Linked DNA regions of Styela clava. The protein of the gene in region 2 purifies or fractionates together with the protein of the main gene of each other region. This does not show direct contact. Links are inferred from orthologs where the notes say so. Each region holds a gene or a part of one and is shown on either strand. Other genes may lie near its edges.

What was found.
Region 1: the proteins of striatin-interacting protein 1 homolog (region 2) and striatin-3-like purify together in Drosophila melanogaster (affinity purification with western blotting; 4 studies listed by BioGRID, with this or other methods). This does not show direct contact. The link is inferred for Styela clava from reciprocal best matches to the Drosophila melanogaster genes Strip and Cka.

Annotation. Positions count from the first base shown.
Region 1 is NC_135261.1:20,428,830-20,444,891, forward strand, and holds the start of striatin-3-like, read left to right. Parts: upstream 1-9,888; 5' UTR 9,889-9,987; coding exon 9,988-10,068; intron 10,069-10,386; coding exon 10,387-10,500; intron 10,501-10,945; coding exon 10,946-11,049; intron 11,050-11,511; coding exon 11,512-11,579; intron 11,580-12,244; coding exon 12,245-12,320; intron 12,321-13,393; coding exon 13,394-13,555; intron 13,556-14,195; coding exon 14,196-14,337; intron 14,338-14,899; coding exon 14,900-15,038; intron 15,039-15,459; coding exon 15,460-15,564; intron 15,565-16,062.
Region 2 is NC_135258.1:5,848,985-5,866,168, reverse strand, and holds the start of striatin-interacting protein 1 homolog, read right to left. Parts: upstream 6,687-17,184; 5' UTR 6,588-6,686; coding exon 4,598-6,587; intron 4,223-4,597; coding exon 4,104-4,222; intron 3,541-4,103; coding exon 3,376-3,540; intron 2,584-3,375; coding exon 2,488-2,583; intron 1,805-2,487; coding exon 1,583-1,804; 3' UTR 1-1,582. Other genes in the region: putative tubulin polyglutamylase ttll-15, read right to left, coding at 12,511-14,022.

The DNA.
Region 1 (16,062 bases), on a different chromosome or scaffold from region 2:
CGGGAAATCAAACTTTTTTGCAGAATAGACAGAGATCTGAAAATTGCATTTCAATGTGAAAAAGATCATTGGTAGATTTCAGAGCTACTTTTCTGAGAGTGGAATTTGAATATTCGTCGTGATATACTCAGTATTTTAGTCTTGCGCAATATAGCGCTTAATTAAGTATGAGTGCGAAACGGTTCCATTACATTTGAACCCACGTACATTTGAACCCATGACAATTGCACCTGCATACTATTGCACCTATGGAAATTTTTTTGTTGTACGGATAGTTGAACCCATACTAACCCTAACCCATGGGTTTCAGCACCCGCATATTGATTGAACCCGCGGATATAGACATGGGTTCAAATGTACGTGGGTTCAAATGTACGGTCACCGTGCGAAACATATATATACATCATACCAACATACCTCAGTTTTTTCATCTTTTGTAAAAAATCAGACTCGGCTTCTTCAATTTTAGCTTTTTAATTTTATATAATCCAGTTTTTCATTTTGATGAAGAAGAAGTTCCTGACGTAGTGTGGTAATATCATCGTTGTCAGTACTTTTTATAAGTGGATAATCCAAGTGTTTTTTCCCCTTTTATTTGTTTTTTCTATGCAAAAAGCAATTGATGTTTTTTAAGGCTATATATATTTAACGAAGTCCCATCATTTCTGGATATGGGAAAATTTATCTATTTGGTGGACTAAATTATTATATTTATGTTTTATTATATGTATTATAGTTTACGCCACCATAAAAGCTGGTGTTATTTTTCCACGCCCTCTTGCCCCACTTTATTTTCTTAGAAGATTTTAAGACAAGGACTGGGGCAAGGGTGTGGCCAAAAGCAGTGTTCATAATGTGGTGGATATCTTTAATACTGGTCACCAAGTTTTCAGAAACATAAATTATATCAATCCTGCGTGACTGTGTACCAATTTTTGCATGTGCAAAGTTGGCCGGGAGGATATTAACTACGGAAGATAGACAACATGCTAGAGGCTTGCATGGCGAAGCCTACTATTTTCTCTGTCCTTGATAGTCATAGTTAAGTTTATTTTTCTCATCCAGTAAAAAAAAATTAACATGCAATATTAAGACGAATAATATTGAATACACATTTCACTGGGGAAGGGAATACGCGGGGAACGCGAAGATGGTTAACAAACAGCGACGCCCAAGTCAAGCTTAAGTCGCCAATAATTATAATATACAAGGAATAGAGAATACAGGGTCTGGATCACACTGCGCATCTTCTCCATAAAGTGTATCTGGATTTGGCCTCTGGCAGACGGGACATACGAATAATTAATACAGGTACATCGAGAGAGCTGATGCGAGGTGTTGTGTCGCTACGTTGTTTTTCATCTGATGGTATTGCTGGAAAATCAGTACTCTCTTTGTACATGCCTCGATTTTTTGCAGAGACGTCAGGATGGTGGCAAAACGCATTCTCGGAACAGATGCCCGGATTGAAAACAGTTTAGGCAGGATTTAGTATATATATATAGCTCCGTGAGAAGAAAGGTCTTACATTGTATTCCACCAACCTTGATGCAGCCTGTGAACTTAGAGACATCAAACTCGTCAACGATGGCTTGCACGTAGCCATTGTAAACTTTTGTATTTTTTGAATATATTTTATAGACCCACCTAACTTTTACAATATTTAAGAAATCTAGCATGGATTTGATCTGGAATATCGTGACTTCAGTTGGTATGCCCCGCACACTGATGCGTGTGCCAAGGCCACGACGAAGACCAAATTTCAATTAACCCGAGGGAGTGTCCAAGATTTTGCCGACACTGTCAAGAAAATTATCGCGCGTGGAACCGCCATCCGTGGACTGGAAAGTTAAGATTCAAAGGACTTGCCGGATGGGTAAAATACCCCGGGGATTTAGAATACCGTAGTTTTTCAACGGAAGTGAAAAGCTCGGAGAACGACGTAACGGTCCTTATGTCTTAAAAGTTAAGACGTCGACCGACTCGCCGAGAAAGACCTCCACTCCTTTTACGCTCAGTCGCTCACTACCCTAGGCAATGAAGCCGCCACGCTTGAAAAAAGCAGTTTGTCCGTCACAGAAGATCCCTTGGTGCAAATGGCCTTTGGCTTCCGACTGCCAGAAACACTCCAATTTTTCTCTCTTTCTATTTTTCAAACTGAACCCGATATTTAGACAGAGAATATGCGCATGAATTCTCGATGACAATATTATGGTCATCGAAGACAGCCGGGATGGCTCTAAATATAGGCCTATGTAGTAAAATCGGAAACTGTAAAGTTACAGGATCACAGCTAAGGGGTCGTGTCTTTGGAGGCGTCCCGCTTTGAAATCAAAAAAATATGGTAACCCTATCTATGGATATTTATTTTCGGTGAATCCCCTTATATCCAATTTTTGCATCATGATTTTTGAAGCATGTTTTATAGGAAATGTGTAACTTTCATTAGTGGGAATAAGCTGTAATGCGTTCAGTATGTGCATTTTCACATAAAACTAAAGTATTCAATTAGTTACCACGTGCGCTACGAAACTAATTTTCTGGTTGTTTTTCAGTGGCTCGTCACACGGCCTAGGCCCTATAGGGAGCAAAACCAAATATTTTATCATCAATTCCCCGAAAATCATATGCGGTAACTCAACAAAAAGGTACCTGTATCATGGTAACGGGGACTGTCCTAGCTGTCACGTCTTTTGATTGATAAGCCCGCAATCTATATAGACTGGAAACAATGAAAACGTATCAAACGCGCCACTCTCAGCCCCTTTATTCACAAACAAGACGCAGGCATAAATCAGCTCCTTCTTATATACTTGGCAAAGATCAGCGGTTTTCTCAAATGAATAAAACACAATTGATTAACTCAAGTCACAATACATATATCAACAACGAAGGGCAAAAATTTTACCAAACGTTTTCCGATCCGGTTGGCTAATACAATTTCAATATATATATATCAGATGAAAAAACAGTCCACAATATGTACAAATATAAGCGGCTATCACACGCCGAATACGTGATGCAAAAGTGACAAGGAAAACGCTACACCAGACAACATATAAAATTACTAATTTAGGCTACGACCAAAGAAAAAGGGGTGATAATAGGTCTTCAATAATTGGGTGCAAGGCAGCGCACTATGAACTGCATACGGAGGCAAAATGTACAATCATTTCAAACCTAATCGTTTACAACGAAACACTAGCTTTGCCAGGTCCTGTGGCAATGATCCATTCTTCGCGATTTAGTATCAACGTGAATTGAAATACTAACTTATCCGAGTCACTTCTGTATTACCAGATCAGGTACCGCAGTCTTTCGTACCCAATTAAAAACTTCCCACTTTCGCTAGGCACAAATCCACCAACGTTCGCTGAGCAAGAGATCCGTTGATATGCGTTCGCGGAACCGCCGCAAAGTCTGCAATTTCTGATGACGTCATAACACACAAAAACGAATTCCATAAAATATCCTCACAGAAATATTTGAAATACATAAATAGCCCTCTAGCGGAAAATACAATCTTTGACCAATGACAATTTTAAAGCAATTGGCCCAGTTATCAAAAAGGTGAACGATATTTAAACAACGATAAAATTATATAATAAAGAACAAGAACAGCAACAGCATAATATCAAAACAATTTTTCTGTAACTTCGTCCAACTAAATTTTCATGGAACCTAGTTGCAGTGCAGGTGGCACCGATCAGAATGTGTCTTATATATATTTAGGTATGAAATGCTGGCCAAAACTCTCGAGTGAAAAGAATGACAATTGAAACAAAGCCAAGTCTCAAGTAATCAACGTATTGGCCATCATTAAGTCCACAATTTTGTACCAAATAACTGGTTAACTATTCCCTTGATGACAAAACATGGGGCATCATATATGATTAGGCCGTCTTATCGACTTCCCTATACCCTGGATAAATATGATAACTGTAGAATGAATATCAGTTACCACTGCTGACATCCATGCATTAAATTCCATTACTTGCTTTTTATTATTTAAAAAAAATGAAACAATATTTCAAGAATTAATATTAATCAACAATGCAGACACAATAAAAAAATTGAATAGATTCCACATAGTACAGTTTCTTTATTTTTGCTATGTTCGAGTATTTACCCTTTTTCAGTGACAATATTTGTCTTTATTTCTTATAGTGTCAGTTAATTTTTGTAAATATTCAAACTATGGCTTTCTGTTATCAATTTTGCATTCATAAAATCGGCCAAAAAAATGGACATTTCCCCGATCCTTCGAACCCAGAAAAATTCTCCCTATACTTTACCATTGCAAAAATTTTGAGAGCGTTCCGGAGAATTGGCGCTTACAAACTGGTTTTTCTGGTAAAAACCATCATTTTTTAGAAGCGTATTCAATCACATGTCGCTTACAGGTACTGAGAGCTAATTTTATCCCAGTCTATCACAGCTCTTCCGGGACTAATTTTTAAATACTGGAACCAAACTAAAGCGTCTCAAAAGACAATCAAGTTATTTGATTTACAGCTGATTTTTGGGAGCACAAGTGAAAACCGGCCAACAACACGCAAAATCACGAAAAAATGGCAACCTTTACACCCATGATTGTAAGTCTATCCGACGACTAACATACCGTCTGTCTGAGCAATGACATTAAACAACATGATGCGCAACTCCGGCATTTTTGTCCGAAGATCGTATTCGATAGCACGCTCCAATGCACATACTTGACGAGACGAAAACGAGCGGATGTGTGCTGCTTTCAAGGCGTAGCACGAATGGTGTTCGTGCCTGCTTTGACAGTTGTTGTCGATTTTAATGATATTTTTGAAAGTTGGGGTAAAAAGAAATCGGTAAAAGGTAAGGTGAATACTATTGTTGTATATCACACCCGGGCATCGCACTGTTAAGTACATGTGGGAAAGCCAGCCTTTGTCAAATACTACGAAGTTATTAATTCAGTACGGTACGTAGTTGCCCATTTGCCGAAATTACATATTTACTTACCCCTTATGGTTTCAAATAGTTCATGCACCTCCAGTTAGATTTTTTGAATCAGTGAGGATATATACTCATTGTTGATTGCTGCTCATTGTAACATACTATTACGCATTCACTTTTATTTGCGTATTGAATCAAAGTGTTAACAAGTTCACCTAACATTTCACTCATACCGGTCTATATTGTATAGTCTGATTTCTCAAGTATTTGGAGGCACGAATGCTTGTAATTTTCTGACTAAACCCTTTTATTAGTTGGTTTATATACCAAATTCAGTAAAATATTTTTTAAATAAAACATGAGATATTGGATTTATTAGCTTTTCCATTCTGAATCATATAGACTGCTTTATTTATTCTTAACGAAAATTAATAAATCTCCTCTCTTTCCTCAGATGTGAAAGTTGTGGACAAACCTGTCTAAGCATTGTGAGACTCTTGCAGCACAAGAGGCAATAGCAGAAATAGTAAGTATATCAATCAAAAAATTAAGCCGACATAAAGCAAAACTTTCAACTATTCGTCTAATCTCAATTTCCTATTATTTATTCACAGGACAACTATAGCAGACGGGGAGATATCAGAAGTCTGGCGACATATCAGTGACAGTGTGATTCCAAGAAATATAATGCAATTGAAAATAGAAATTTGCAATAGAAAAACAACCTATGGAGGCATGCAAAGACATTTGACCCTCCGGTAGAGTTGTGTATGGCCCCCACATCCTGCAGGGCTTGAGGAAAATAACTAAAAATTCCAAAGCGTAAGATTGCATAAGCGGTCTTATTTGTAAAAAGGCACAAAACACGCCAGACATACTTAAAACAGCTTTGGAAATGAGGATTACGGGTACCTCACTGCACCTGTGTTATATTTGGTTCATCAACTTTTGGTAGTACTATAGAAGAAATTCCGGAAGGGGTATAATCATCATTCATGATAAAATACTATCATATATTTTTTGAACAACTTCAATCTAGACCAGGGATCTCAAACTCGCGGCCCCAGAGAACTTCCATTCCAGTGCGGCCCTCGAACGCTTAACAATAATTGTAATAGTATTTTGGAAGTTTTTTTTTTATCTAAATGTAATAGATTTTTCAAACCTTCTAAAGTGAAATTGATTATTCACACAGAAAACAATTTACTGAAAGTAGTTTTGGAATATTAATTTTTTTGTCCACATTTTGACCCAATTAAGAATACACATCAAGCTAGCAAAAGAATACTTGAATAAAACACTTGAGTAATTAAATTAAACGCAAAGTACATGAAGAAGGTGGCATTTTCGAAGAAAATGGGAGTTGTAACATTTCTGCTCTTCACAAAATTCTGAAGCACATTGTTTAATTTGTCATATTTCCATCAATACAATCAAAAAACACAATAAGCTCAGCAGTCAATATGACAAATTCGAAGACCAACTTCGAACAGAAAATTTCCATGTGTTTGTATATTAATATAATTATACAACGACTTAGTTACTAAAAATCAATATCAATAATAATTCAAGCAATCCTATGCCACGCAATGTAGTGCGAAATGTCTTGTCGAAAAAATCTGTCATTTGTTTTTTACTGATCTATACATGAAATGATAAAAGTAACTTTTTTGCATTACTGGAATTAATTAAACATTCGTAAAGATCCAGATAAACCCATGATCATGTGGCCTCGTTAGTTAGAGTTGGTACTATAAAATCATTTCAGACTGGCCTTAGTATGCTGGTGACACAAAAAAGATGCCAAACGCCAGGACAAATGTAATTATTAAAACATTGAGTTTATACTGTAGTATTTTTGTCAATTTTAGGTTCATATATTTAGATTAAGGTATTTTTAGTGTATGTATTATTCTTTCCTAATTCAAAGCTTGTTCAAAAATGATTTTGATGGTTGTACATAGAATTTTACGATTTTTTATAATAAATACTGTAACTTGCAAATGTTGCAATAATAGTGGAATGCAAATATTAATATGTAATTGCATTTGAAATTGAAGAAAATAATAAAACTTAATCCAACTGTTTAGTTGCATCACAATATATGTCACAAACTAAAACTATCTTAAAAATATCTTTTAAGTATACATTATCAAAAACTGTTTGCGGCTCTCGAAAACCCATGAGTTTGACACCACTGATCTATTCTAGACGATTCAAGCATTGCTTTGGGAAATTATATCACTTCAATTAAATTGAAATAATCTCGCTATATTAAAAACAAAATCGTTGCTATCATAAAGGTAAACCAATTCAGCCACTCGAAATATATTGGCCTTCACAAAGCGATGGAGGCAAAATTGAGAGTTCATGAGCTATGAACATTTGTTCTTTTCTTTGTCTTGAACTTTTCATACTCCACAGCCCCTATTAATTTTTTTTAATTTTAATTACCATGTGATGGTCATACATATCTTTAACTTGTATTTTCTGTCATGATGTATTATCTCAATGTGCCAAACTATTAATTAGTGTGCATATTTTGCTTCCAGATGACATAAATGTATTGTCATGTTTATTACCTCAGCTTGGAGTATTGACAAGAAAAAGGTGCCAGTAAATTAGGTAAAAAAATTTCCAACTCATTGTAATAATCAGAATTCACAATCAATAGGAATTATAAACAGCCAACAATCAGTGAGAATTATATGCGAAATCCCTCAGAATAAATTTGTCTAAAATCGGAGGAAGGTAGTTTCCATCCACACAAGCATTTCAAGAAGACTTGCTCGAGCCAAACTAAATGAGCATCGTCAGGTGATCGGTAAGGCTGCAAGTTGAATTCAGCCCTGCAACCTCCTGCATAGAAGATAATATTAATTAGTGGGCTATGAGCTAAATTCCTAAATTTAAACAAACCTATCTACGATGCATTATGTACCAGCAATGTTACCTACGATTAACTGAATATGTAATATGTCTAATAAATTCACCTACAAAAGCAAGTTCGATAGGTGCAAACTTTGTGTTATGGAATTGTATCGCAGCACAGTTTTGTATGACACCCTCTTTAAATGAAATTTCAATGATTAAGCGCAAACATTAAAATTACTAACTTTGAACTTTGTCATTATCTGCAAAATGTTCCACACAAATCTTTCCGCTATCGCGTTTGTAATCTTCTCTGATAAAAAAAAAAAACGTCTATGATGTCCAGAATTGCTCTTTACAGCTTGCCTGTTATTCCAGCTTTCCAAGTAAGCAAAACTTCTTAGATATAGAGATTATTTTGTTTCGTTACAGGCGCAAAAAGGCAGGTACTACACGTAAAAAAGACGCCGAGTAGCAAAAGCGAGCGGAAAACGGACGCGAAAGGCGACGAAAAATATGTGCATTGGAGCGTATCATGAAATACAATGTTTTGCCTGTAGTCTTATGGAGTGACGTCAGAGTTGCCTATCATGTTGTTTAATGTCATTGGTCTGAGCGAAAAAAATGTCTGAGCGGTTACACAAATTGCAATTGTTACGTCATTGGTAACTTATTGCTGATTTGTAATTGTTACGACTATAAACAAGGATATCTATGATCGGGGAAACTGGTTTATGTTGCCAATGACATTAAACATGACATTAAATGGCCAATTAAACATGTTTAATGTCATTGACATGTTTAATGTCATTGATGTTGCTGAAAATCTCTTGTTCTTATTTAAAAAAAATTACGACTCCCAGTGGCGATAATAAATTGCATTGAATAGAATGTCTGAATGTAGATGTAAAAGAACTGAGAGAGGCCCGAGCGAGAGAACGGAATAGCCGACGACCCCAAAATCACCAAACACAGAAGCAGGCTAAATAGATGTCTTTATTTTTTTTATTTAATAATAATTCACTTTGTGGAACCATAAAAAAAGAATAGAACCAGACAGGTATTTCTCAGAATACATAGCATTATCGCTCGTAGCCTATTCGGTTTCTTTCTGCAGACTGATTCATGAAGTCTGGGGAGTTGTACCGGTACCGGTACCGGTACCGTATTCTCGAAACTTGACTGCTCGCGATACTGGTACGGTAACGGCATACAAATTTTTCACCCTCCAGCAGTTTGAACTTGCAAACTTGACTGCATGAGCCTGTAGCTGTACCGTACCCTAATCCTGTACTCCATTAAAACAGCTGATACCGTACTGTGATAGATTGTCAGTGCTGTTATTTCTGTATTTAGTGACCGGTATCGTATCTGCTGATCTGGTTATTGTGGCAATTTGGTGTGGCTACGACAAAGAGAAATGATGATTTTGCTTGCTTAATTATATTAAAATTAATTAGAATAGGTACATTTTGTTATAAATTAAGATTCCTGTATTTTATTTTAATGATCATTCTGTCATTTATTTAGCTATATAAATACTGTCAGATTGTAGATTCTGAGATTTCAGGATTCTGGGATTGTAATTCAATTATTCTTTTGTTATCACTAGTGTGATATAAAATTTGAATTATGAAAAATTCTATCATTATTGAAAATAAAACACCCAATATTACCGTACTATTTAAAAAGCAGATAAAAATGACCATAACATACGGTATAGGCTAGGTACTGTAAAATTTCAGAGTAAACAAACCCTTTGCAAAGCAATTACAAAATTTGCGTTTAGCATCAATTTAAAAAGTAGACTAAATTATGTCCATGTTAAGTTTTTTGTATTTGCTTATTTTGTATTTATGAAAGTAACGCTGGAATTGCCCAGCATTAAATTTTTCATATCCTAATACTGCTGCACTGTAATAACTTCTTCAATAATATAAGTGTGTCGCAATGGCTGAAATGAGAAAAGACTACTTATGTGGCTATTCAACAAGTCAGTGAGTACTGGAGTAGCAGTAGCCTATAGCTGTGTAGCAAAATAATGAATATGAATATGGTGTCTGTAATGAAATAAGATATTCAATTTTCTCATGGTACAGCAACAAATTAATAGCATATTGTATTAAATATACATTTGAAAGTGTCACAAAATTAATTATATATGCCTTTGATAACTTGAAAAGTTTGATGTTTTATTCTTCCATGAATATGGATGCCGATCTTCCCATCAATGGCCAAAATGGGAGCGGAAATCAAGATGATCAACACGTGAGTATATTTCAATACTTTATTAATATAGAAAATGGAACAGACCCATTTCAAAGTATATTTGAATAGTAAATCATTTGGTTTTCGCAACCACTGATAATATTCATTTAAAATGTTGTAGTTTACTGTGGATATTAGTTCTGTATTTTTTTCTGTAAACACTGCATGCAGTTGGAAAAATAACAAAAACATCATTCATTTCAATTTATCCCCTTCCCAATTTGCTAAACAACAAGTAAAGATAGAACTAGATGAGTGATATTTTGTTGAATAAATAAAGTTCTGTCCATTTTCACAGATTGTTTTGTTTAATTTTAGGTTGAATTAAAATCAGGATATACAATGCCAGGAATACTTCACTTCATTCAGCATGAGTGGTCCAAGTTTGAAATGGACAGAGCACAGTGGGAAGTGGAAAAGGCAGAACTACAAGTATAAATGAATCCTTGTTATGCTGTACTCAAGAAACATCTCAAGATTTATTGACATTGTTATACCAGACATACAGCGACTGTAGTATTGATACTGACTGACATTAATTAAATTTGGACTGATATCTAGCGGTATTCATGGCTGTGAAATGCAGTGCATTTTTCACTCCTCTTACTCTATGAAATTATAAATTTGAACTCGAATCATTTTGAAAATATGACTCCAGTTAAAAAACATGCCAAACTATGGCTCCACATCCCCGCTTGGTAATAGTGGTCACAACTGGGGCAAGGTCATTTATCCCATTTGGAAGTCTCATCTATGCTTTATCTCCAGATATGTTTATTGAATACACATTGTTGATTCAACCAGATATGTCCTAACTAATCACCTTTTGATAACAATGTTATAGAATGTAAAATGTTGATAATTGTTATGTTTTTAGGCTCGTATTGCATTTTTGCAAGGAGAAAGAAAGGGCCAAGAAAATCTGAAACGTGATCTGGTCAGGCGTATCAAAATGCTAGAGTTTGCACTGAAACAAGAAAGGTTGAAAAAAATTCTTTTATTGCATTCAATGATTTTATTTTTTCATATTTCAACTAATTTTTAAATAATTTATTTTCATAAATTCAATTGATCTGTTATAATACTTGTCACTTCAATGGACTAAATCAATTTTTACCTCTTTAATAAAGTGCACAAATTATTAGTAACGTTTTAAATTAATAGTAAGATTTCGTGAACACTGATCAATTTTTATGTGCAACTTTGCTAATCTAATTCCTCATTTAAAAAAGTAAAGAGTAGACGAAGTAGGGAGTAGCATAGCATCTTTGTCCTTAATGTTTCTTCATAAGTTCTTGCTTTGTAAGAAAGTTTCTATTAGCTATTCTCACGAGCCTGTACATATTTACTGTAAGAGCCTTAATATTTAATACATGCATCTTTCTTTCTTTCTTTAAAAATATGTTTTTTCAAACAATTTGTAACATGTTCTGATACATTTAGAGCAAAGTTACATAAACACAAGTTTGGTAGTGATGGACCAGAGGACGATAGCTTGAATGAATCAACAGGTAAATTCAATAATTTCTCACAAACCAACCATATTTATAGCCTATATAACGGCCTGATATCAGTGTCCTCGTATCAATCTTTAATATTAGTTTCATTCCGGGTCAGTAAATCTGTAACAATATTGCAATATTCAGTCCATTCCGTTCATTTTGATATTGGTCATTTTGCCTCTTCCTGTAAATCACATGGGCAAACAATATTTTTGATGAATATAATTATCTATCTACGGATAAAGTGTGTGTCAAAAGTTCCAGTTACCCCTATTGGTCTTTCAATAATAGCCTGACTGCAAATTTGTATTTGTTGGATGTTGTTGTACATATGTGGATATGAACATCAAATATGAATTTAATACATTCCATTCATTTGTCATAGTATGGCCTCTCACACAAATAATAACGATTTTGGTATTCTTGTGAATCTGTGATCTCTATCAAAGAGAAATTGCTAACATCATAGATATCAACCTTTTTGGTTCTTTTTATTTTTGATCTTTTTTTTTTTGAGTTTTGTACTACCATTGTTAGGAATTATTATAATTATGCCATTTTATATTGTGTTCTTCAGATCTTTTGTCATGATTTGTGTGATTGAGTGGAATACTATTTTAATTTTTCTTTCAACTTCCACCAGACATCACTGATTTTAACCATTTGTATTTCAGAATTTAAGCTTGGTGAAGAAATCTCACAAGGTAATACGCAGATGTCATGGAGACAAGGAAGACAACTTTTAAGACAGTAAGTTTGTTATATCAATATATTTGTTTCATTGAAATGTCTTGCTTACCCAATTGGTATTGATATGAAAACAATAGAAGATCAACACTCATTATATATGACAGGAAGTACTCTTTTGGTAATAGATTTCAACAGGCATGTGCGTATGCTTTTCATTGAATACAAGCTATATTTATATAAATAGCATAAAGGGGGTAAAATAATGAACCCACTCAAGTACTGCTGATTGGAAAAAATTAAAAGCAAAAAATAGCATGGTAACGACACCGTTAATTAACTGCTAAAACATTTATAGGAAATGGTATCGTTCTAGTAGTACAGTGCTTATTAACCTGGGTTCGGTGGAGCTGTCCCAGGGGTTTGACGAAGGTGCATTGAAAAAATTTTTCACCATGTGGTCATTTCATTACCCAGTTTTCACTTACCGGTATGTGAAAATTATTATATTCCACGCAGACAGGCTCGCAAAGGTTGAGAAACACTGGTCTAGTAGGTGAAAAATGGATAGGCTATGATTTTATTACAACAGAAACAGGGCAACCAGATACTAACAGAGGGTACTAGGCTAAAACTGTATTGAACTGCAAGTCTTTTCTCATTCTTAGACACAAACAGTTTCAAAAAAAAATATCTTCAGATTTATGCAATGTGAGGTTAACTTCAATTAAGCAAGCGATTTTAAATTCAACTTAATCAAAAGATTCATGGAATGGTCATATGACAGCTGTTATTCCATAATACCAGCTCTAGAGATAATCTTAAAATTATATCATATTATGATGACTTCCACACAATTTCTGTCAGTCCTCACATGTATCTTTGAACTTCAATGATCCTTCAGGTTCTTTACATTGACCTACTTTCTTTCACTCAGACCAAGGGCTAAATTGTTCAAGTGTCCACTCAATGCCTGTTCATATGATGTGAATGTACAATGTACTCCCATATTTCCCTTAAAATGTCAATAAAGTAATGCATTGTGTACCTGATCGCTGTTATTTCAATGTTATTTTATATAGAGTGCAAGTGAAAGAAGTAGGCTTACTATTAATAATATTTTTTACTGCATTTAGGTATCTTCAAGAAGTTGGTTATAGTGATACAATATTAGACGTGAGATCACAAAGAGTACGAGCATTACTTGGTAAAAGTTATGAGGTTGCTTCACCCGGTGCTCAAAACAAAAGCAAAATTGTAAATGGAATCTCAGAGAAAGATAACAATGTTTCTGTCAAGTATGTTTTTTTTCTATATGTGTTATTCTATTAAGCACTGTTCAAACACTGGTTTTGTTTTCTATTTTGTTTATTTAAACTAAAAATTTTCTCGAGTGAAGTTGCATGATCACTGATAGTGATAGCCGAGGTGCACTTAGATGCTAATAACTACATGTGTAGTTGTTATTAGAAAGAATATATTTCGGACCGTGCAATTTTCTCGAAGATATTTGAATTGAATGAAACCTCTAGTCATTTTTAACAATGCAAAATTGATCATTCTGTAAAGTGTAAACCATGCTTTCATGATTCTACGAATCGAAATCGAAAAATTTATACGAACGAATACCATGGTCACAGAATATGGATATTGAGTACCACACACACGTGTGAGCCACGGAAATGAACCTATAATGAAATAAATGGAACATTATGGAGCTATTTTTTTTTCTCATATTGTGCGACTTTGATTGCTCGAAATAATAATTCTTCAAATGAACGTATTCTGAATTATTTCGATAATCAAGATTTGAAATTTCTGGAATAAATTAAATCTTGAATCGATTCAATTAGCAGAGTCATTCTTGATCTTGACTATACATGAACCATTTTTTGTTAAGAATATTTCAATATTCTCTCTCTTTCTGGATTTACACAGCCCTTCTGAAGCAGACATAATGACCAACTTCGATTTTTTGACTGGATCGCTACATGATGAGATGGGCGATGACGATGATAATGATTCTGATCAAATAGACTCTGGAGCAGGAGACCGACAAAAATTATCCAGAATCAAAAATGTATCTGTTTATTATTTCTTTACAAGTTTATAGACCAGTAAATTTTGAAAGCAATCCTATATCTGCAAATTGGACACGTTATTTATTATGCATGTCAATATGTGTTTCAAGTACGCATACTTTTAAAGAAATTGTAATTCACGTCAAAGACGACCAATTTCCTTGTTAATAGGAGTGTTTTCATGCAAAAGGATAAAACAGGGGTGGGCACGGTTTTTGAATCAGGGGCTAAAAATTTTGCCCACTTGGACTGGCGGACAAAGTGGGACATAGAAAAAAGTAACATTTTATGAACAATATTTACAGTATTACAAAGCAAAGGTGGAAAAAATGCGTCTCATGCCATAACTATTTTTAACTAAAAATCTCAACAAATTCCAAGAGCTATTTTTAGCTAAAACATCAAGATTTGATTTCAGTTTGGCTGTGGCAGCATCGGGTGGGCCGGATTGAATTACTCAACGGGCCGTACTTTGCCCGTGTCTGGGATAGAATATACTTTGTGTCTTTCATGCCTACTTATTATTCAATTTCCGAAGCTGAGTTATAATATTATTGTTAGCTTGTCGATGATGATGATGATGATAATGACGATGATGATGAAGACCGATTTCCAGAAGACCTAGAATGTGATATAACTGAAACTGATTCTGCACTTGCTGAGTTTGATTTTTTATCTGCCACCGAAGGAAATGATGCTGGTATGTTATTTAATTAGATGTGAACTAGGTACATACCATGCTAATTGTAAATCACAGAAAATTTACTTAAGATTTTTAAATATTTCGCATAGAATGAGTGTGAACCAATCAATGCCGACTAACTGGAAATGTTAAAGTGATTTTTTCATTTTCGAACAATACTTGGTCAATCAGAATTTATTGGTTATTATTAAAACACTTCCTGTGTAGTGTATACTTTTCGGTACTCTCGTTGTGTATGTACCAGGTTATGGTTAGGCCATAATTTTATTCCTTATTTTAGTTTTACTACGAGTTCAAGGACTGTCTGTGTTAGCCAAGTGAATATACCCCCTGTCCATGGCTTTCTGTCCCTTATTTCCCATATTTGTACACTCTTCTGGAGCGCCTACTGTTTTACATCAAACAATTTTTTTTACAGTGGACTCTGGGCTGTTGGTATGGCAAGTTGATAGAAACAAGCTTAATGCCAAAAAAGAAAAATTTAAAGAGGAGAAAAAACAGTCTAAGAAAAAGGGGCTCAATCGTAAGTCGTAAAAAAAATGAATATATTTTTAGCATTTATTTCAAAATCGTATACTCAAGAAGGTGATTCTACCAAGATCATACATTGTATCTCAGAGTAAGTAATCAGTGATTTGGCTTTTATGTATATGTAAAAATAGTTTAATTAGTCCTGCTAAGTGCTATGTATTAGAGTTGTACCGATACCACTTTTGTCGCCGATACCGATACGCCGATACTACAAAAATGTCGATATTACCAATATTCCGATACCGATACTATGTAATTATTACCTAATTAGGTGTGCTGTGTAGGGCAGACGGGTTAAAACAATAGTCTATGAGCGTTGTTAATAGTACACATTATTTCAGATCGAAAAAAGATATATCACAAAATATGAAATTGATGTTTGGTATCCATATGTTTTAACTGATTAAGATACATTGTACAGTAACGCTAGTAATCTCGGTGTTCAATTAGAAAACTCATAAGCCGGGATGTTTAACTTGAATTTAATGTG
Region 2 (17,184 bases):
AAAAAATGATCAATCGATTGAAGCACATGCAAATAAAGATTATATTTTCTTGAGTAAGTCAACAGTTTTCACTTCTAAAAATTGTTAAGGCTCTTTTCTGAACTTTCAGATTTGACAGTGAATAAAAAAACAAGACTAATTTTGGATCCGAATGCAGGAAAGTTCCGATAAATAGTGAAATTATTGGTTTTCAGATATTAATTGTATGCATTTCATTTATACTATGAGACTTCAACTGCTCAAAATCATTTCAAATAAATATTCTGAATTATTTCTAAAATTTTTACAAAAATATCATTTTTGCACATCATGTAAGTTACTTGGTTGAGTTGAAGATATAACATATTGTTTATATCAATTACGCCAAGTACTACAAATGCCAAGCAAATAGGTCAGTGGTTCTCATAAGTGGGTTCTTGAGGGGCCGTGAAGCTGAATAAAAATATTTGTTAGATTTGAACTCGCCCTACTTAGTTTGGATGTTTACGTTCCATTCACATACTTTCAACGTGTTTTTTGAATAAAACATATTTCGCCTTACTATCTGTTATTTGTATCAGTTAGTTATTTTTGAGATGGGCACGACTAAAAAAGTTTTAGAACCACTGAAATAGACAGACATGATCGAACGGTTACATTCACCATGAATCAAAATCAACCTAATAAACTGAATAAATTTTAAAATAAAATTTGAATTTATGAAAATGCTGAAATCACTCAAAAGCACTGATTAATTCAGGTCCATTATTACTTTTTACTTTTCAAAAAAAAATCTAATATTTGAGGTATACTTTCAAATTTCATCAGTGTTGAAAGCAAAAAACTCAAAACTGTTCGGAAAAAACTGAACTTTTTGACGGCTCAGAGCTGACGGTCATGTAGAATTTATCTATAACCCTAATAATGAATTTCAAGCCTTGGGAAATATGAAAAGATAACATGTAGAATAACCTCTATGTATCATAATTCATAACACTTTCATCATAAAATATATAAACTGATAGAAAACGTGTCTTTTTTAACTTTTCTTCGGAATGCGCATTTATGTCTTTCACTTTAAACCACGCATAGAGGAAAGAGAATACATACAGGGTTCGCTACAGATCAACACATTCATTAATAATCGAAAATATCAAATGATGAAAACAAGCCTTTCAACATCCAGACACGTTTTAAACTTTTTTTTATGCCCTTCACTTTGAACACTTTGCTCTTAACAAGCAACCACTGTTAGGTAAGAAGCTGCTGTAGTTTGAAAGGACTGGAAACTTTCCCTTTTCAAGATTTACAATTCAATTTGTTTTACCCCGGTTAAGGTGAAGGCAGTGGCTTCCCTACACCCCTCCCTCCTATAAAATTTCTAACATCCCCCCTAACTTTGAGGTGTGATACCAAACTTTAATTCCCAACTTAAGTATAGTTTCATTCAAATATATAGAATATGGCATATTCTTCAGTGTAGATGTAGATGGCCTGTCAAATACATTACCCCCCTTCTATAAAATGAAAAGCAGGGGAGCATACTGGGTGAAGGGGATTTAAACCCAAGATTAATGTTTCCAGAATAGTGAGGTTATCTTCACTACTGCACACATGATATTGAAAGCAACTGGTCCCAATCTGTAGTTGTAGAGTACACTTCTCGTTCCAACCAGATATCATAGTTTTTCACAAACTCATTTGGAAGGTCAAATTTCTCTCCAAGGACACTGTGAAGGTCATTGTCAACCGGTTCATGGTCTTGATTTGGAGGAATAATAGTCGGACTGTCCGTCTTGTATCTTCTGAAGTTGAATCTTTCCACCTGGAAATGAAATGCAATCATGTAGGTTGTGTTGAATTAGAGTCAAATCAGAAGTACAGCGTTTCTCAAACTATGCCATAAGACCATAGAGTAGGCACTGCACAGTGATTCTCTGGAAATGAAATGCAACCATGCGGGATGTATCAAATAAGTATGTCAAATTGAAAATATTCTAGTCCAGTCCAGTCTCAAACTTTTACGATCCATTGATCCCTTCGCACTCTCAACACCTGTGGTTCCCTGCTCGGCGCTCCAGAAGTATACGTACCAGAATGGAGGGAACTAATTTTGTTCGCCTACTTTACATCAAGGTATGTAAGGGGACTGAAACCTATGGGTAGAGGGTAGGGATGGGCCGAGATTCGGATCCGGTCTCGGATTGGAGTAAAATCCACGCATTTTTTGGACTCGAGTAATTTTTATCGAGTCTATAATCAATTCTGTTTTTATTAATTTGCGCCTATGTTTGTACTTTTCCCCCTATAAATCTCAGTACATACCCTAACTGGGTAAAATTCAATGTTAGATCAGTAACAATATTCCTCGTATGTATTATATACAATCCTAACCTGGCACATACACTACTGCAGTACCCCCCGTTCATCTATAACAATACTCAGGTTTTTACCATTATGGATACTAAGGAAGCGAACCAATGTAAGAAAAAGAATGGATTTTCCTACCTCAGCTCGAAGCGTGCACTCCTCTTGTTGGAAATCCCAAGGTCTGGCATCAACATCATTTCCATAAGCCCAATCATCACTCAAGCGATGTCTGACCTACGATAAAAAAGCAGGTCATTAACAGAAAATAGAAAAATAATATCACAAAAAAACGAAGCCATGGGAGCAGACTAAATGAAGAGCAAGCAGTGCTGGTTAGATGTCCATAAACTCGGGAGTCAAGTCATTTGAGGTCGGGTCAATCACTGGGTTATGTCTCACTTGTGGTTACTTGAGTCCAACTTCATTCCATTCAGTTTACTCGAGCAATACTTTCAGTTTTTGATAAATAAAGAGTGACTCGAGTAGAGTCAAGTACCTGAATTCTTATAACACTGCTAAACAAAATTCTGGATAAGAGTGAATGTTTACCCAGGTTCAAATACTAAAATAACTCGAAATCCAATTTAATTATATAAAAAAATCATAGAAACATGGATACTCCCGTAGTGTGTGTACCAGGTTAGGGTTAGGCCTTAATTTTATTCCGATTTTCCTTATTTTAGTTCTATTACGAGTTTGGGGACTGTCTGTGTTAACCAAGTGAATATCCCCCCTGCCCATAGTAATGAATCCCTTTATACAACTTGATGTAAAGTAGGCAAACAAAATTAGTTACCTCCATATTGCGCCGCCAAAACTTGTATAGCTTTGTACAAAGAGGTTCATGCATAGGCAATGAGAACAGCTCTCATCAGCTCAAACATTAAGTAAGTGTGTTAAAGCAGCGCAACCCTAGAGATGGCTTATACATCAGCGGGGTCTGATGTTGTGAATTATGATTGTATAGAAAGTAGATACGTTGCTGGATTTTAAGGCACAAGTCGCCACCAAATACTGAAACAGTACCTTCTGATAAATGGCCGACATAATCTTCATATTACTCTTCCTCCATGCTCGGCCAAGATACTTTGTTTGAGATTTCAAAAGTTTGAGAACATAAAGTTGCAACATTGCCTGCCTGACTTTTAATGCTCGTTTCAATATTGGTGATGATTTAAAGACCACAAGCATCTGAAAAAATGTTGCATGTTCGATTCTATTTTGTGGACGTGATAGCCTAGTGCAGAGGTTCCCAATCGCGGCACTTGGCCCTCTAATGGGGCAACAGAGCAGTATGAGGGGGGACTACAATACCAGGTGCAAAACTGATTTCACTTTTCCCTTTACAAGAAAATAACCTGTTCTTATTAGTTTCATTGCTTGAAAGGTTATTTCACAGGGTGTCACTTTGTTGGGCATGTAACACAATGGGATTCAGAGAGAATGACATGAACGAGAGTCATGAAAAATTATTTTCATTCTGTTATTTCTCTAGTTTTATTGGGAAATTGAAAAGATTGTTGACTAAATCCTTTGAATTGAGACTCTGAATTGGGAGAATCCCAGGCAAAGCGGCCCAAATTTCAAGTTATGGTGATAGTTGATCAGCTAACTATTCCAGATGCCAAGACTTGAATAAAAAACAGTTTAAGAGTTCAGTTCTTTAATATCACGCATTTCCTGCCACAGTGGCTTCTTTTACAGAGCCTTGTTCAAGGATTCGTAAGAGAGAGACACCTCACTACTACACTTACCATGGTTCTTGAATGTTTCCATTTTACAAGTTTATTCAAAATTCTGAGCAGATTGATGCTCGAGAATAGATTTCTCCAACAGGCTGCAGATTGGGTGTCAACTGGTTCCAGAGATTCAGCTGAAAAAATATTAAATACTTAACAATACTGGTGCAATTATTCCTTAGTCAAACATCTATCTCTAACTACCAAAAATATGAAGGCGACTAGACAAGCAGAATTTTGTCTTAAAAATAATTTGCAAATATGAGTTTAAAAAATTCTACAGAACAATGGTAAGGACTGATAATACAAAACAAAAAAATAGAATTCTAAGAAATACTTCAACCTTTAACTAATGAATTTTGAAAGCAACCACAGTTCACAATTATCTCTCAAACATAATCTTGAAATTCTGAGGGAGTTTGTCCCAAAAATTCGAATGCAAAATACGAGAGAACAATCTTCGAATAATAAACAATATAGTGGGGGACCTCGCTATAATTTCTCCATACCTGTGATTTCCACTTTCTCTCCAACAACACAAGCAGGATATTCCAATGAAGGAATGACGTTCTTCGTTGTAACGTAAGCGACAATATTCTGATTGAAGAATTTTAAAACAAGAGGAATACAATTCGCAAACACAAGATGCTGACTCATGTATTCATACTGATATACATGATTCAGCTTAAAATGTTTCAATAATAAAAGCAAAATTGCTGAAATTGATTTAACGATTATTTCACGATGACGATTGACATCGATTCCTAATCTTACTGATTGAACTGCAGAGTATGGAATCTCAGGGGGCAAAACATCAGCTAAGATATTGATTGCGTCACTTTTTGCTTTCGATGTCGGAGCTGCGGCAAGTAAGATCTTCAAAAGTGAAATCATATATTGTGGTAAATTTGGTAGAATTGATTGGTAAAGTTTTTCCGCCGAGTTATCAGGAATGACATCCAATTTTGCTTTTGTTAGGGGGTATTTTCCTATCTGTGATTCAATTTCAATTTGCTTTTCCGCAAGTGAAACATATAAATGCTTTCGAAGAATTTTAACACTCTCCTTAGTTGGCGTAGGAAGACCAGCCATAGTAGTTACATCACCTTCAAGTTGAAAACCGACAAACTTTTGACGGACTTGAGATAAGAAGATCTCAACATCTCGTTCCCGAGTTTTAGGAGTCCAGTGAAGCCCAGAAGGTACTTTGATAACATGAAGATCTTTTAGAGCATGCTCTTCCTCACGTTCTGCTTTAATTTTCATTAATTTTAAAGCGATTGCGGCAGTGTCACCCGGTGTTGGATCCCTCTTAAATGGTGCTGGCGTTCCGATACCCACTGCTGGAGTATCAATTCCTCCTCCGGGAACAGGGGCATCGATTTCAGAGTCAAATATGATGTCTTCATCAGTTTTTTCCACCTCATTTTGATCTGAAGGGGCTGGGAGTAGATCAGCTCCATTTTCTATCATTTCTTCTTTTTCAGAATCTTCGTCATCCGCTCCAGGAATGTGTATATCGACGTCAATATCACCAGAAGATTCAGATTTATTTTCCGAACCTGAAACTTCAACCACTTCTGGTCCACGTATGATTCCTCTGCGATTTTTTCTCCTCCCCGGTTGACCTTGGTCGAACAAATCCGCTGCGTTCATTGGTGGAGCAGACGCTTTCATTTTTCTAGCAACTTCAATAGGATTTTCTGCTAAACGTGGAAGCCCCGCCTCCTCTCTTTTCTTACATTTTAACTGGTGTAAATCATCAAGCCCGCCCACCATCGCCAAGACAACTTTCCATAATAATAAAAGAACCTTTTTAATTGGATAAGCTGTTATGTTGTGGTTACAGAACTTGGTAACCATATTGAACAAAACGACGAAAAGCGATTCATTTCCATTATTTGATTGATTTAACAATGTAATGAACGCATCTCTTGCTTTTTTGAATTTTTCAGAATCGCTCTCTTCAAACTGTCGAATAGTCTCGAGCATTGTATAAAGTAGACTAATCACGATTCTTAATTCCGAACTGTTTACGATAGAACACACTGTTGGATTTTTCGAATCAGGAATTTCTTTCTCATTCTTATGTATTTCCATTAGAAGTAATTCTTCTGCCAATCCAAATACTCCCATTTCATACAATAAAAAGCAATTTTTCCTGGAACTTTTCAAAAGTTCTTCAATGGTGGCAAATTCAGTAAAATTACCCTGTGCAATGTATAATAAACTTCTCACAGCTCGAAACTTTTTTTCAGAATTTACGACGTCTGTTCCATCCATTGCCTTCATAATCACAACCTTCTTTTCTTCCAAAGTCATTTCAATCCATTTTCTCTCGTCACCGAGGATTTCTTTGAAGCATTCTTGGTTTAAAGCAAACTCATTCTCCTCTGTATAACTGTACAATTCTCCTAACTCACTTATAAACGAGTCACAATCGCCATAAACGAAATCTAAATCTTCATCACCGTCACCATTTTCAGATCTTCCCGTCATTTTTCAGATTAATTAATAGCATAACCTAAGACATAATATTTCCTATTATAAAGTGAAAAAGAACATGAATTATGAAAAGAATGAAAACACAAGATCATGGATAAGTATGGATATATGGCTTTAATTCTTATTTAAAAACTCTAATATGTAAAGGGCTGTTAGACTCAAGATATAAATAGGTATAGTTATAAGGTTCCAATTGAGATTTAGATGGTCCTTGTCGTAGAGGTATATTGGGCCGCCATATTTATCAGCAGATTACAATTGTGGGTACCCCTGTAATGTGTGTACCAGGTTAGGGTTAGGCCATAATTTTATTCGATTCTCCTTATTTTAGTTCTATTACGAGTTCAGGGACTGTCTTCATGAACCATTGGAGCGCCCAATTGTGTAGCCGAGCTAAATCAGTAATTGGGGAGATAATCGCTCAAAACTTGATCCGGTTTTGAAAATTAAATCAGAGGACAAACACTCAAATTTGTCATGACTCATGACTAGGGCTGGGCAAAATATTCGAATGACATTTTACTATTCGAATACCCGGTACCACGTGACCTGCGCCGCTTTGCTTCAACACGGAATTCGGAATCGTGAATTGCCCGAGAATTCACAAACGGCGCTCGCTAACATACAAAAGCGACAAATTTTCTTTGCGTTATGATGTTATTTGTTTTCTTTTCACGCCTAACGTATCGTTTCATTTCCCTCTTTTGCAAAATAGGTCCCCACCATTGCTTTAATTTATGATTGTTCTGTAAATTATAAACGTATGACGATGTATTTAAAAAATCGGAAATTCTCATTGCCATCTGTAACAGTCACCGGGATTACGTGCGCGCTAAAGAGAAGTTTTTTCAGCGTATAATGATTTTTCTGTTGCGTAAAATGATCAAATCATGACAACTATGGGATTCCAAAATGTCTTCATATATTAATTTAATTATGTCAAACGTAACTCGCGGTTGCTTCTTCTTAAGTCAAAATTGAAACATTACATCTCTGAAATGCCACGGCGATCTGTGGACATAAAAGTATGAGATAAACTGCCGGGTGTATTTAATTTTAATAAGTATTTTTGGAATCTTGCGAACTCGTTCTCGCCGTTAGAAAAATCTCAATAACTGATATAAAATCCTGTATCTAGAGTACAATTTCATTTCGAACAATGAAAATACATATAAAGTATATCGTTTAATCAAAAATACATATTCATCGCCGCGATTAGGCCACTTGTTATAAGAGCCGACTTTTGCAATGAATAATGAGTTTTCTGTTGTGCAAAGTAATCAATTTGTGACCGATAAGAGCATATTTAAAATGTCTTGTTTTATTATTGTCTTCAATTTAACCAGCGGTTGAGTCTACAAAATAAAATCTTCACAATTTTAAAATACCACGGCAATCTGCGGACATAAAGTGTGGTAAACTGATCGAATATATAAAGCTTTATTTTCAGGACTTATAACATCAAAAAATCCATAAATTTGCTGTAATATCTCAGGTTAAAATTTATTTTAGCACAATAAAAATTGATTGAATATACATTAGATTGATTATCTTATATATATCATCACAACCCGGAGAAAATTGTCCGTTTCAAACCTTGTATAATGTTGAAATGAAAATTTTCGAGGGCAATTTAAAGTAATGGATAATATGGCCAATCCCGCCCACAATTAACAGTTCTTCGATTTTAGTGATGATATGTTTTCTAAACGCCGGCCAAACATAATGTGTGCGAGAGGCACACGAAATTTTGCGATTTTCAATGTCTAAAAAGGCGTTTTCAAACTGTCGCAACCTCAATAAAACTCATATTGTTTAAAGTTTTATTTTCAGTATTTTATATTGCCGCTTTTCAATCAAAAAATTTGCGTTGTCCTGGAGAAACTCGCCGCCGATGAACGTATATTAATTAAACTTTCGCCGGATTCGCGATTCCCTGTGTGTACAAAAATAAAATAATTATCATCGTTAACGTCGCACAACGTTGTTGAATTTATTTGATTTGAAGATAAACCAACTCATATTGTTTACGACCTAAATAACACGTCACGCTGATAATAACAATCGGCGATTATAGCAAAATGCTAGTGCACGCGTTATTGGCGACTTTTACAGTTTTAAAAAAATTTCAAAGGCAATGCACGGGTATACCTAATACATAAAACTTCGATGTCCGCCGACCCGCAAGAATTAATACTTTCAAAAAAATGAATCAGGCGGAAATACAGATTACGAACTTTAGGATCGCGGCGACAAAAACAATTAGCGATTTTGATGAATTTAACCAGTAAATAAAAAACGCTTTGTTGCCGATTTTTCAAAGTTTCTTCTTATTTTCGAAGGGAGTATCGACCTTCGACGGACCCCATTGTATTTGAAAAAAAATATTCGTTATTCGACTATTCGGTATTCGTGAAAAATATTCGAACTGTTCGATTCGAAAAAAATATTCGATTTTGCCCACCCCTACTCATGACTCTTTTTTTTTTAAATGACCATTGTGACTTTGATAATAGAGCACATCAGCACAATAAATTGTGTAATTAGGCAGCAGTGCCATTTTTATAATCGAGCAGTATAGAGTCAAAGTTAAATTTTTAGCAACCTGAAATGAGTATTTTGAATGGCTCAAAATATAGGCAAGTCGGATCACTTTTCTGAACCAACAGCACTTTTAGGCAGCAATAACATTTGTTGCCAATCGAGATGTAAGAAAAACCTCACATTTATGACAAAATTTGGGTCTAACGAAGTACACACCGCAAGTGCTCAAATACCGTCAAACAAAAAGGTGATGAAGAATAATGGCCAAAGCTGATTAAATAATGCCAAACAAAAAAGCGCTGCAAAAATACAGCCCAAATTTTCATTATTTTTTTCAATCAAGTCTGTTTGGCACAAACCACTATACCCTATTAGACATGGTATAGCTGCTCAGTTGAAAATTGAGTGGATTTCAATTTTACTAATCACGTCTCTCAAGAATTTCATTCCGCGTCAGACTTTTTAAAAAAAAACATAAAAATTTTTTCATCACATTTCTGTTTGGCGCTATTCAAGCAGTTTTGACAGTATTTTAACATCATATTCCTGTTTGACGTTATTTTAAGAGTTACACGTTTACTTCGCTAAAATTCCCAAAATTTCTATAATTATATACATTTGAATTCCAAATATACAGAACAGATATAACTTACATAAAATACAAAATAATATTAATAAAAATGTAGATACCAGTAGTATATTATTTACAAGATGATCCTTGTTTGTTACAAGTTACTTTGCAATATTCAATTTTCAACAAAAATCAATGCATTCATGATATAAGGTAGGAGAGATAGAGTTAAAAATAAAGAAAAGAAGTGAATATGTCAATCAAATGATTTATTTCATATAAAATAAAATATCAGAGCAAGGGTTATCGTTGTTGAGTATCAGCGTGTAGGCAACAAAATGTAATTTGTTGCAGGAAAATATCTTGTTTGTCATAGAGAGTATCAGTGAGTACGCAAGATGATGTGGATAAAATAAATCAGAGGAAGATTTCGTGCGCTCACCCTGAAATAAAAGAGACTACCGTAATCTCTGAGTGGGAAAAAATTCCGAAAATATAAAGAAGTAGAATTATGCTTAGCCAAAATAGTTTTATGGCTATAACAATTGTTAGTTAATTAAATTTTAATGTATTGATAAATGAGAAATACAAACACTATGAATAAAAACTATGAATAAACAAAAAAACGAAATTTTTAGTTATTGCTATAGAAAGGAGCGAAACACATTATTATAAGCTAAGGTTTACCATATCATGCCATGACAAGTTTTTCGAATAGTCAACTTGAAACTTCGGCAAATTAGATCATTTTACCTATGCCAATTGTGCTCTATATATTTTCAATAGGCTTATAAACTACACAGTTAGAATAAGATGATAATGGATCAAATTTCAGAACATCAAATGCATGATTTTGAGTTAAAATTGCGACCATATTTTTTAATTTTGCTACGAGGTGACAGTTCACAGACGAAATGAGAACAAAAGTATGTATTTGAAAAATATTTATTTCTAATAATTTTGCTAAAAAAAAATGTCATTCAAGTATGTGTTATAGAAATAAATTATATGTTCCATATTATAGTGTAAAGAAGAAAAACAAAAAATACTCAAAGTAGTCCAATTTAAAACTGGTCTAGTAGCCTATTCTACTTATCTTAGATAGGCCAAAGCAACAGGGTGAACTGGCGAACCCAAAATATTTACCAACATAAAGTTTTCATCAAAAGCGAATTTCCCTGGACAACATGGTCTCTCAGAAATACCTGGTGCTACTATAGCGCGAGTGCTACCGCCTATCACCATATGTCATCTACCCAGTGCAGCCTCGAACCAGTTAACATCGATTAAAAACGATTCAAAATGTTGCAGAAGTTTTACCGCAACTTCCTAGCTTCAGGTAGACCCCACACTATAGTACTGGCTTGAGGTATTACTCATGCTATAGCGCAGTGGTTCTCGAACGATGGGGTGTGTCCCACAAAGGCATGGCAATTTTTTTGAAAGGGTGTGGAAAAAAAAGTATTAATTAGATTTGATTTTGCCTGATTTATTTTGGATATTTACATTTTAAAACTTATCATTTATTTCATTATTCACGTTCCATCCACGTATTTTCAACATGTTTTTTATGAATAAACATACTTTCGCCTCACTATCTGTTTTCTAGCTTGAAGTAGATCCTACCATATGGGATGGTTAATATCATGCATTAGTGTGATAGCAAGCTAAAGTAGCACTAAATATTATGAACAAGAATCTAATGAACAAATAAATTTGATATGTACCCTTAGGTAATTTGATTTAAAAAAATGCACAGTTCATTATTGGAAGTAAATATGCAATGCAAACATAGAAAAAAAAACACAATTATTATCCCCTTTTAAACGAGTTTTAAATATCATTGCACAGCAGGGTAACAAAAAGATGAACAAATGCAATAAAGGATTATGTCATGATTAGAATAACAATTTTTTTAGAATAATAATATCATACTGAAAGACATTCAATACAGCAACTAAGGCGTACAAAGTAATTACCTAAGTTCATAATGACTGTTTTCCAGGTTAGCATAGCCCACATAATCAATATATTACTGCCTGTATAAGGTGAAGAGATGTGGCCATCTCTGGACAGTGCTTGAACTCAAATACTCCAACCAAGTATTCCTGAATATACCACCAAAATCACAAAACTGAGACGGTATCAAATGCATGTGATGAATGGCATGGATTATTTGAATAAAACCAACCTTCTATTTATGTTTGAGGTAGGGAGCATGCCTCCGACAGTCCTGGACTCAAAAGTCTGCAATTTTACTTTGATTAATGGTCTCTTAAAACAATGTATTGAGGCATCGACAAATACAGTATATATGGTAGAACGTGTGAATTATTTGAATAAAACTTAACTATTTATATATGAGGTTGTAGGCATGTCTCTAGTTAGTCCTAGACTTGGAACTAAAAAGGGATTTCAGAATAATTACTGGTAACCCAAAACAATGTATCAGGCTATTAACAAGTACATATAGTAAAAGTGAGACGAAGCGGGAAATGTTCGATTAAAATCAAAGTGCAATTATGGTATTCGCTGAGTAGTAACCTCCTTGTAGGGAGAGCTGTACGACAGCTTGGTAGTATTTACAATTTATGGAACGTATGGATTCCGCAGATTTAAAAATTGGTTATAAGTTACTCAAAAGTAGTTCTTCAAATCCAAACAAGAAATGAAAACTATTTATTTGGCCCCAAATTCCATTTCACTATTCTTCCTCTAATGTTCAATTAACCAAATGTCAGGCAATTTTTCGAATCAGATGAAATAAGTTTTCATCTGATTCATCAAATGTGGACTTGAGACTCAAATACACCAAGAAAGGTCTTGCAAGCATTTCCCTTTATACCAAAGAGCAAGCATCTTATCTAAATCAGTTCTTAATCTTTTATCTTTTACTGGGTTGTACAATGAAGCCAAATCTTTATCGCCTAGTGGTTTGGGATAAACTCTCTTGAAATTTCTTCTGTTAACATGATGTTTATACGCAATTTTCAAACTACTTTCAACAGGAATTACCATACATTGACTACATAGTTTGCAAATATGATCTAAGCAATATTTACATTTCAAGCATTCTTCTGGGTAAGCTACGATATCGCGATTACTAACAGACATCTCCTCTTCAAATATATTTTTCGTTGCGGAGTGTTCCCTTTGCATTGCGATTCCAACTAGTGATAGAGTATTGAATATAACTTGTCGGTACATTCTTGCGTTATCGGCAAAATGTCCGCTAGATAAATTAGGTGACATGTTCACTTCCATTGCATAAACATTTAAATCCTCATCAAGAACAAAATCGAAACGAACAAGTTCAAAAAACGATCTTGTACCATAGGGATAATACCCAACTGATCTAATAATATCTGGCTGCTTTTCCCAAATCAACTCTGACACGGCCGCATATAAATCATCAACAACTTTTTTCTCGTTAAGGCCAATTGTTTTTAAATGTTGTAGCAAGCTCTCTTTGTGTGAAAGCTTCATATTCTTATAACCCGTCTTTAAAGATGGCATTTCCCAAGTTGGAGTATAGTCATCTTCAACCACATATTTTCTAACATTCCCAGAATCGAAAGGTTCATAATCTTCAGGGCAAAACCTTATCAACCATTCATTATCAAGGACGTACACAGTTAGTGGATTAATGGAAGTAATCACAGTATAAATCCCAACGTCAAATTTTCGTCCATCCACAAGAAAAGGCTTCCTTACAAATTCCTGTATAAACGAGTCAGGTGCACTAAAATCAAGTTCTTTTTTTGTCTTTATTTTAATTCCCCTGTGTTTATTATTTTTTTGAACCCACATTTTTTCCGGATGCTTTTCAATATATTTCTTAAAATCAGTTAAATTTTGTGGTAAAGAAAACGCAAGTGGAATATACCTTGATTTGGACATAGCGAGATACCCTTTACTTGTCAAATACCCAGATCCAGGAAAATGGTTCACTTTTTGATGCGGCTTCAACGTAGTACTTGTTATTGCTTTTCCGAATGGGTATTCATACGACCACATTACATCCCAATCTCCAGATTTTTCATTCCATCTGTCAAATCCTACAGCTTTAAAAGTTTCTTTGACATGGTTCATGTATCCAGAGTCGGCATTATTTGCTGAAAGCCAGTAAACAGGGTTATTTCCACTTTTCACAACTGTTGTCACTGGTGATGATGATTTGAGTTGTAAAATTTTCAACTCTGATATACTTGACATGATATGCAGCATTCCAAACACAGAAAATATCAGACAAAATGTCTGGAATTTGGTGGTTGTGCAAAATCGTTTCAGCAACATTGCTTTTCTGAGTATCATGGGAAATGATGATATGCAAAATTATTTCTAGTTGAGAGTTTTGTCTTAAGAAATGCTACTGCCGCAGCATAGGAATCATTATTTTTACAAATTCCATGAAATTCGAATTAGACCACTGTAGATTTTTACCAATTTTCAAGCAAATGAATATGAAGGGAACTTGACTTCAAAGATGACATAAATCAGTCATAATAAATTGCAGATAAACAGAGCAACAGTTGAAGTAAATCCAATGTTCAGACAATTTGTATTCCCCTGAATTTTAAGACAAAAGTCTGTTTTCCATTTTGACAGTATGTAATCAAGGTATTGATTAAATTATTTACATTGGGATAGTGCAATAAAAAGATCAGCATATTAAACAGAAAATAAATAACTTATATACCTAAGGTACCGTAGCCCATCAAAAAACATGTAAATACTGACAAATGACCCAAAGTCTAAAAACTATCAGCATCAACTGTTATAGATTATTCACCTTTTTCTGTCTTCTGCTTAAATCCAATACCGGTATCTGAATACTGGAATATGCAGAACATAAAAGCACAGCTGTACTGGCTGTATCTATGTGATGCTCAGATGTACCATACATTAAAAAGATTAAAACTTTTTTTTTTTTTTGCCAAATTTAATTCCATTGCCAAATCGGATTTATACAAATGATAGTTTTGGTGTATCCAAATATATATTTCAATATTATTGCATGAGGTCCAAATTTTATTTTTATTTTTGTGATGTAATTTAGGTGATTTTATACAATGAATAAGTATACAATGAAAAGATAAGACAAATATTGAATAATTCAGACCAGATACATTTACCATTAAATTCCTACATTTTCCATCTATGTTATCATTTTACACAAATTAGTAAATACGGTAATCTGTTACAATGAAATCTGTTACATATTGTCATGAGATGGCCAGTGGTTGCATTGGAAACTTGATATTATAGCATGATGGATTTATTTAAAATCTCATCAATGTGTTGATCTTGCATAATATTATTTCTGCATCCACTGTCCATCAAACCCATGCACCCCAATACTTTACATTTAAAAATTGCTCTCAAACTGCATTGCATCCCATAAATCAACAGGGGTGATAACTTTTTTGTGGCTTTGGAGCCAGGCCACACAAAAGGGGCCAGGCCACGGAGAAAATGGGGCCAGGCCACAGAGAAAATGGGGCCAGGCCACAGAGAAAATGGGGCCAGGCCACGGAGAAAATGGGGCCAGGCCTCAGAATATTCGGGGCCAGGCCAGCGCAATGGTAATGTTAAGACATCCGTATTTGTTTAGTTATATTTTTGTTTATAAGTGATGTGGAAACTGGTAATGTTAAGACATGTACGGTACCGTACCGGTACTTGTACAATTGAACCGTATCGTATGTTACAACCAGGGAAAATGCTGTATTCGAACACTTACTCATTACAAATGTACCGACTCCATAATCAGCAATAGAATAGAAAATAATAGATAAAAACAAATGATAAAGTAACTGATTATAGAATCGGGAAAGCAAACAAAACCTCAAGTAAAGTTTGAAGCCTACATATTTCAGATGGAAAGGTATTGATAAAAGAAGTAGTACGTGTTCGCTCACCCAATGTATTACTTATGTGAGGGGGTATATTGCGAGCGATACATTATTGTAGTGTTTCTACTGGTCACCGTACATATACATTTATATTCCTCCCCGCATTCATTGTCTTTTTACTGTAGCGTGAACTGGTGCCTATATGTTAAAAAAAACTCAGTGAAATAAGTTATATTTATTGCTTGTTGCATACCTTTTTGTGATTGTTAATTTTTTTTAGCGAATATGTGTTGTTATTTAATTATTTTCATACAATACATGGTTAATAGATCATGGAATAATTCCACCAGTGACTCAAATGCTATTATTAAATGAAGTCCGTACTGATAAATTGTGTAGTTCTACCTGTATTGCATAGGCAATTGACAGGGGTTTACACGCTAAGATGTTTTAGATTTGTAATACAAATTGCAGGCACAACATATCGGTAGCTGGTATACGCTATCACAACCACTAGTATCCCAATACTCAACATGCAAAAAAGACTACTCTTCTCAGTTATACATTATCCCTAACAGAAAACAAGATCCATGCATACCAGTTGATAAACTGTTTCATTTATTGAAAAATATGCAAAAAAAAATTGCAAACACCAGATTGGCAGGATTCCAACATACTCTTTTTTAAAATAAGATTCATCTCCGAGGGAGTCCTTTTTGTTAGCATCTTAAGACTTTCCTATTACCGATAATTACTTCAATTATATTCAGCGTAATGAATATCAGGGATAAATGTTCAATCATAAGACTGTTTTTTCAATATAAGTCATCATAGATATATCGGAAAAGTAACAGTAGTACAAACGCATATTAGATAATCATAAGCAAGGAAATTGTAAGACTCTTTTGACTGGAACTGGTTTAGAGATTCAAGGGAAAATTCGCAAAATTCAATTTGGTATTTTTTCAAATTTGTTTTTAGCAACCACACTGGTAAGGTTGAGTATCTCCTACACAATATAAAACCAAAATTATATAGAGTCCGTATTGTTGTCATCATAGCAGACACCATGATATAATTTCTTCTCTCCAAGCTATAAAACAAAAAAATTATGCTAAAATTCTTGATGACTTGAGTGGTTTATTATTTTACAGTACTGGGAATCAAAATACCTATTTCACCAATAAATACTTTTTAATCCTGCACACCATTTTGAGAATACAGGTAAAACGTAAAATTAAATGGTAGTGATATTAGGGAGTGGGGTTTTATGGCACGGTTGTTAGCAACAATATGGGATGAAATTTATCTAACAGAAGGAAGTATGTAGGTTTCATATAGAATTATTACATCATTTTTATCATTGTCAACTATTCAATCCAAATCTAACGAAGATTCAATAAAACATGGTGTTTATTCGACTAGACCAGGGGTTCTCAACCTTTTTTCTGCAAAATACCCCCCCCCCCCCAGGCACGAAACAATCAACGTGAACCCCCAGTAATGTGACACCGAACAAAGTTGTGATATATCGATTAACAATTTGTTGAAACAACAATTTATTGACCAGATAAAACTAAATTTAATTTCCCTGTTACTAATATTGCCCTAACTAATAAAT